2 linked regions of the Macaca fascicularis genome follow. The protein of the gene in region 2 interacts with the protein of the main gene of each other region in a biochemical or structural test. Links are inferred from orthologs where the notes say so. Each region holds a gene or a part of one and is shown on either strand. Other genes may lie near its edges.

The links. The genes of interacting proteins can lie anywhere in the genome.
Region 1: the proteins of NR2F1 (region 2) and BCL11B form a complex in vitro, tested with the Homo sapiens proteins (2 studies listed by BioGRID). The link is inferred for Macaca fascicularis from reciprocal best matches to the Homo sapiens genes NR2F1 and BCL11B.

The regions. Positions count from the first base shown.
Region 1 is NC_088381.1:167,329,751-167,333,400, forward strand, and holds part of BCL11B (B-cell lymphoma/leukemia 11B), read right to left. Parts: intron 2,758-3,650; coding exon 2,389-2,757; intron 1-2,388. UniProt on the Homo sapiens protein: Key regulator of both differentiation and survival of T-lymphocytes during thymocyte development in mammals.
Region 2 is NC_088380.1:97,588,428-97,592,077, reverse strand, and holds part of NR2F1 (COUP transcription factor 1), read right to left. Parts: intron 2,643-3,650; exon of another isoform or gene 2,543-2,642; coding exon of another isoform or gene 2,530-2,542; intron 1,855-2,529; coding exon 1,327-1,854; intron 1-1,326. UniProt on the Homo sapiens protein: Coup (chicken ovalbumin upstream promoter) transcription factor binds to the ovalbumin promoter and, in conjunction with another protein (S300-II) stimulates initiation of transcription. Binds to both direct repeats and palindromes of the 5'-AGGTCA-3' motif.

The sequences.
Region 1 (3,650 bases), on a different chromosome or scaffold from region 2:
TCCTTTTTATTAAATAAGAAAAGAAAAGAAAAGTTGGTGCCCAAGTAGGCAGGGAAATAGGAGGAATGGGAACTAGAAAGGCAGACGCATGGTGTGCTGTTAAAATGGGATGGTCGTCTTCAGCTGACACAGCATGTAGACTGTTTTGTGCCTTTGATTAAAATAACATTTTAAATGCTTTGAACAAACATATCTCTTTAGACTTCTAAGGGATTATTTTACATATTTCTTCTAGAATGAAGAAATCCATTCGTCCTGTTGCTGAACAGAAAGGCCAAGAATATCTTTCGTCACACATAAAATAAAAATACTGTAGCCTGCTGCAGTATCACAACCCAGGAAAAAAAAAAAAAAAAACAGGGGGGCCAGAGGGTGGAAGGATGAGGACAAAGCTGCCTTGGAGATTAACTTTGCCTTTTATGAAATCACATTTAGTCACTTTCTTAAACAAACCTGCCACAGTGATCTGCAGCCTCTCACTGGGAAATGCCTTCAATGTGAAATGAGGATTTGGATGTTTTTGGCAAAAGCAGCAAATCTTTCCATTGAAACATAAATAGGTGGCCCAAGTCTCCCTGGCAAGGCCACCCCTGAAAGATCTATGTGCACTGAGGCCAGGCATTGACACTACAGGTGAAACTGTCCCCAGAACATCAATCAACAAAGACAAAAGGCACCCAGCACCTCTCTGGCCTGGTGGCTCAGCCCGGGGAAGAGACGCTGCTCGGGTGTTCACAGCACTCTGAGAAGCCAGTGTTTACATGCCTGTGGCCTGGACATGTCTCAAAGCCCCTTGCATCTTGGAAAGCTTATGAGACACTTCATGCTAGGGCACCCATCAGAAGGCAAGGCCCAGAGGCCAATCTGGTTCACTGATGCCTCCCCAGTGCCTGGCAGGAGGCTGCAGGAATCTACATACCACCAGTCTCCCCACAAAAGAGAGGGCTCACTAAGTCCCTTGTACAGGTGAGCAAAGTGAGGCTCAGTGTCACAAAGCTTTGGAGACTTGGGGGAGACAGGCTTGCAGCATTACCCTGACTGCGTCCTGGGTGATGGGTGTTGATGAGTGCCCAAGCCCATCTGTCTCACCCTCCTAGAAGCATCCAAAGCCTGAGTCCCTCCAGAGCCCATGCTACCTTCCATGATGGAAGCATGGTAATGATCAATGCACTCGTTTCCCCAGCCAGCCACCTACTTGCATGCCGCAGAGCCAGAGGAGGCCCCTGAGAGAGAAGTGCCACAGGCAAAAAACTGATTAAGAGCCCCTGCTCATCTAATCCTCACACCAGGCCTGCTGGTATTACCATTTCTGTTGACAGATGGGGAAACTGAGGCTCAGACCCATGAAGTGGCTAACCCAAAGTCAACCATCAGGATTTGAAGACTCGTCTGCATAAACTCTGATGCCCGTCTTGCTCCAGGACGGGCTGCTGCTTTTTAGGGAACCCAGGCTGGCCAGGCCCTCCTTTCTCCCCCAGGCCTCCTGGGCTCAGAAGTATAAACCAGAAACAAACACTCTGGTTTGCACAGAAAGCAGTGGCTCCCCAGAAGAGGTTCCAGCATGCCATGGTGCTGGCCAAGAGGGAGGGACTTCATGCTAACTCGCTGTGGTGAGCAGACCCATGCCTGGGGACAGAGGGGCCCTAGACCTGTTCTCAAGGTGGTAAAACCAGCTGTCCCAGTGGTCGAATGAGTGAGCATGTCAAAGGGCATGTCCAACCTCCCCCAACGGGCACAGTGCTCCAACAAGTTCCCACACCCCTGCCTGGGACCGGCCCCTGGGGTCAGGCAACGTCAGAAGCAACGTCTGAGATCAGGGGGCCTAACTCCTCTTTTCACACATGGGAAACTGAGTCCAGAGAGAAAGGAGAGGGGAGAGAATAAGCACTCCCATTCCTAAGTGCCTACCAGGTCACGCCGCATGCAACAGCTCATTAATCCTCACAGCAACCCTAATAGGTGGGTTTCCTTAGCTCCATTTCATAGATGGGCAAACTGACATGTCCAAGTTGTGAAGACAAATTCTAACCCAAGACTGTGTAGCTTCAAAATCAGGGACTAAGCCGAGATCAGTAGCAAAGAGAGGGCCAACCAGACTTCCAAATTTTCATTCTGTGCTTCTGACCACCTCTGGATTAGCCCCTGAGACAGAGTCCCCTCACCAAAAGCAAGCAGCCATCAGTCATTTGGGCCTCCCCGAGCCCCAGGCCTGTCTCCTCCTGAAGGTCACCTGGATGGTGGACCCTCAGAAAGGGGGAGCCCTGGCTGGTGGCCCAGAGGCCATCCTGGAAGCCCCTGGGCCTTCCCCTGCACCAGTACACTCAGACAGAGGGCGTGGGACCCCGGAGGTGCCTTCTGGAGCAACCAGGCAAGCGCAGCATCCCATACCTGCAATGTTCTCCTGCTTGGGACAGATGCCTTTCGTGGGCGAGAGCAGGTGGTCATCTTCGTCGGGGGTGACTTGGATCCCGATCTCCACCGGCTCGGACACTTTCCTGAGCTCGGAGCGTGAGGAGGGCGGCGGGCTGTCCTTGTCCAGGGCCTTGTCATAGCAGGCACCCAAGCTGCCGCCACACTGCTTCCTTTTGTGCTCTATAAAAACCAGGATGTCCCCCAAGGGGAAGTTCATTTGACACTGGCCACAGGTGAGCAGGTCAGGGTCGGGGCCACCCACCATCAGCCCCAGGCCACTTGGCTCCTCTATCTCCAGACCCTCGTCTTCTTCGAGGATGGCAGCCTCCACATGGTCAGCCTCTGCTGGAGACAGAAAGAAGAAAGGGAAGGGGCAGAGAAGATAGAGATGGGCTTAGGCGGTCACAGCACCCGACTTCCGGTCCACCCCATCCCCACCAAGAAGCAGACCCCACTGCTGCTGGCTGCTAGAGCTCACCAGGTCCTCCCTGGGGTTGGGGGCTGGTGAGCATCCCCCACGGGACAGACGGGCACACACTGAGGCTCTTGGAGCAACGTCATGCCCCCTGGGCATTGCCACATAAGTAGTGCTGATCTTACTGCATTCTAGTTTATTTTCTGCCAGTTTCTCGCCAACGTAGTATAAGAACACACACGAACACACGCGCAAACACACACACCGTGGCTGCTGATAGCATGAGATCGTGACATGTCTCTCAAAGTTTACAGTATCTGAGAATCACCTGGAGGCTTTGAAAAATCCCAAGGTCCAGGCAGCACCCCCCTGACCAATTACCCTGGGAACAAACATCGGAATATTCTTTCAGACTCCCCAGGTGATTCCAATGGGCAGCCAGGGCTGAGAACCAGTGAGCTGGAACCCTTTCCCCCTGCTGGGCTGGAGCCCCACCCCTCCCATCCCTTACACCTTCATTCATGCCCTCCCCATTCATGCGAATCCCACTGACATTCCTCTACCTGGGACCTGGAAACACACCAAACTAGAAAACAGAAACCCAGATGGGCGTCTCGGGGTCCGTCCTTAGGAGAGAAGGAAGCCCACATGCTCAGAAAGCAACAAGTGAGTGTCAGGTTCCAAAAAAATATCTTAGGAGAAAGCACTGCAGCAGAAGGGAGGCTGGAACCGGCTTGCAGAGTTGGGAAGCCGGCTCTCCCTGCCAAGCACCCGGGGCCCGGTCAGACTTCCCTTTCTCTGCAGATTTCCCCATACTCATCAA
Region 2 (3,650 bases):
TACGATTCTTCACGCATGAAAGCCAAGAAATATTGATAGATTATACCATTGCTTACTGTTCAACAAGGCCTTAGGAAAGGGATTTTGGTATCTCTGTTCAAGAATGGTTTTAATTTGGCCATTGGAAAGCCTGGCTTTAGGACAGATTTATTGGGATGGTTTATTTGTTCTCCGAATGGAGGAATTAAAAACAATACTGCCAATAATGGTGGTAAAACTGCAGCTAACCCTACTCACAGTGGTCAGGGCCCAAGACCCAGTGTAAGCAGCACTACTTCCCACCAGCGTCCTCTCTGGCTTTGTTTCTATTTCTCCCCATTACCTGCTGTCCTGGGTGTTTATATGTTTCCCTCTTGCATGTTATAATAATAAAAAGCCGGCAATGTTCTCAGAGGCTCAGACCAGAGCCCTTCAAAGGAAACGTTAATGCACTTTCCTGGAAGTTAATTTGAACCATCTATCATAAGAGAAATTGTTAACATACATGTTACCACTGCCTACACATAATTTGATATTTTTAAAGTCACTCTGTTAAATTTCCAACCTTCATGTGTTTTGCATAGCTTTGGAATTCATCTCCAGGCGGGGAATCCTCCCATACTTGCGGGTTCTACAGTATTGCCTTTGTTTTTTATCTTTCTTGTTTAGATCGAATCCGTTTTTTACGACCCTCAATAACCTCAGCAACTGCAAACATGAATGGTTTCCGATAAGGGAAAATCAGGCAGCGATAAAGCGGGATTATTTATGATTTATTTGTGCGTATTCTTCTCTTTCCACCTCTCTCTGTGTCTCTCTGTGTCGGGAAACTCATCCAAGGAGCGTGCCACAAAGGGTAAGAAGCCACATTCCCACGTTCTCTTCCTTCCCTCGCCTCCCCCAGAAACGCTGAGCTCTGGCTCACACATAACACGCACCACACACACACACATACACACACACACACACACACACACACACACACACACACACACGCAGCCAGACGGATCCACAGCACCGCCCCCCGGCCCCCCCCCCCCCCCCGCCTCAGACACACACCAGCGGCAGCCGCGGCCCCAGGTAGGGGTCCGCGCGACCAGGCCCGGCCGCCCGCCGGCCGCACCCGCGCCGCCTCGGTTCCCGCACCGCCGCGCTCCCAAGATGGCAGCGGCGCGGCTGGCCGGTCCCCGCGCGGGGGTCACCAGACCCCGGCCAGGCTCAGTGCACAGCAAGGGCCCGACCCGACACGCACCGGCTGCGCGGGAGGCTCCGAAGGCCAGGCCCGGGCGGCGCTGGGCCTGCGCTCGCCGCCGGCGCGGCCTGCCCTCCCCGCGACCGCAGCCTCACCTGACGTGAACAGCACGATGGCTTTGAGGCAGCTGTACTCGGCCGAGTCGACGTGCAGCGCCTTGAGCTTCTCCACCTGCTCCTGGAAGATGCGGATGTGGTCCATGAAGGCCACGACGCGGTCGGCGGACATGGGCGAGGCGTGCAGGCCGGCGGCGGCCAGCAGCGGCGCCACGTGCAGCGGCATAGAGCACTGGGCCGCGTTGAGCACGAACAGCTCGCTCCAGGTGAGGCGTAGCAGGGACACCTGGTCGGTGATCTGCAGATCCGGGAAGAAGGGGATGTTGCGGGCCCACTCGACGGCGCTGAAGAGCAGGCGCGCCGCCAGCTCGCAGATGTTCTCGATGCCCATAATGTTGTTGGGCTGCATGCACTGGCTGCCGTAGCGCGACGTGGGGTAGGGCTCGGCGCGCAGCAGCAGCGAGATGTAGCCGGACAGGTAGCAGTGGCCGTTGAGGGGGTCCCCGTTGGTGAGTGCGTACTGGCCTGGATTGGGCTGGGTTGGAGGCATTCTTCCTCGCTGAACCGCTGACAAAAAGAAAGAGAGAAAAGAGGCAATGTGCATCCAGGGGGCTTGCGAACATTGCCGCGCCGCAGCGTACCCAACACAATGCAGAAGCTCTTCCCGCAGCCACACGCGCCCCGCGCATCTTCTCCGGCTCGCTCTCACAGTCCACACCGCTAGGAGATCTGGGGTGAGGCCCTCCAGCTCCACAGCTCGATGTGTCCAGCCATCGCCTGAGCCCTTGGCCACCTCAGCCCCGCCGGAGCTAGGCCTGACTACAGGGCCCCCACCCTGGCAAGGTCAAGAAAGTGTCACCCAACCCCTAAGCCACCAAGGGGGAACACACAGATAAATGAAACCCCACTCACCCCTCCAGAATGGGGGGGAAAAAAATCAAGGTTAAAAAAAGGCGAAACCGGAGAAAGGTTGTGGTTCTAGGCAAATGCCTAGCGGCCTCCTCATTTGCAAGCAAGCAGCGTTTTGCTGATAAAATGTTTCCACATTCTCTTAAAATGCTATAGAATAATTCTTAAAATAGACACAAGTTACATATCCTACTAACCACTTACAACTTTTGAGTAGAGAACAAGTATCCTGCGCCCCTCCCTTCTCCTCTCCTCCCCGTCGCCCCATACAAAGTTCTCACTATTAAAAGCAACAGAAAATTGAAAATTTTCAAGAAAAAAAGTTGAACTTACAGTAGCCAAACATTATTGAAAAAAGTAGGAAATATAATTAATGTCTGTCCTGCGCGGTGCCACTGCAACCTGCAGCCAGCTTTTGCCCAGTGAATGCACGAGCTTTCAACTGCAAAAACACTGGATTCATTAACCATCTGAATGCAAAACGTAAGCATGCTTTGAGTTCTTAAAGCTGACCAAAGTTTTTTTTTTTTTTTTTTTTTTTAATGTGTATGTTTTACTTCAACAGTGCCAGCGTTTTAAATTGCCATGTAAACAAAGACAACTTTAGGAGAAGTTAGGGCTACTGAACTCTTCCCCCCAACAAATTAATATAGATATGTTCATGTACATGTAGCTGTCTTATTTCAGGTTTTGCTCTATTTTCTGAAGTTTGCTTTGATTCTAATTTTAATGCAAGTTCCAGTGCAATTTAAGCTCTTGAAACATAATGGCTAGAATACTTTTTTCTAATTATAGTTTTGAACTTGGCAGTTATTTTTCAATTAAGTGAGAGTACAATTCAAAGTTGTTTTTTTTTTTTTTTCTTTCAGATGCCTACAAAATCTCCCTGGAGCTAGAAATGAAGTAGTCATATTTGTCTGCTCCTTAAGATCTGAAGGAATTCAATTTCTTTTCTTGTGGCATATAAAATATAATTTTAAAGTCAATTACAAGAAGGAGTAATCTGCATTCTGCAAAATTGACTGGTTCGCTAATTTGACTATAAGACATCTTTAATGATTGTCAAGAGATAAAGTTTAACTGTAAACGGCTAAATATAGTTATAAGAAAAGTACTGCATCTCTTGCCACATGAACATGAAGCATATCCAAATACAACATCAAAAGTTGTGTTTTTTTAAAAAACAAAGCCATACAACACAGGGATTAAATGATGTGGAAGCTCATGCCAGCTGCAGTCTATGCATTATGGCCAAATCAGAAGGATCGGTAAATGCCGTTGTAAATTGTAATTTGTATGCAGTATTTAAGCAGAGGGTGGAGTTTGATGAAGAAATAAAACGAGTATCATGCTTTAAAAAAAATGACACAACTATGAAAGCACGGTTCAGTCACAAACTTTCCTTTCAAAGTAGAGGGGTGAAAACAAGGCCACAGCTCTGGAGGAGGCGGCCC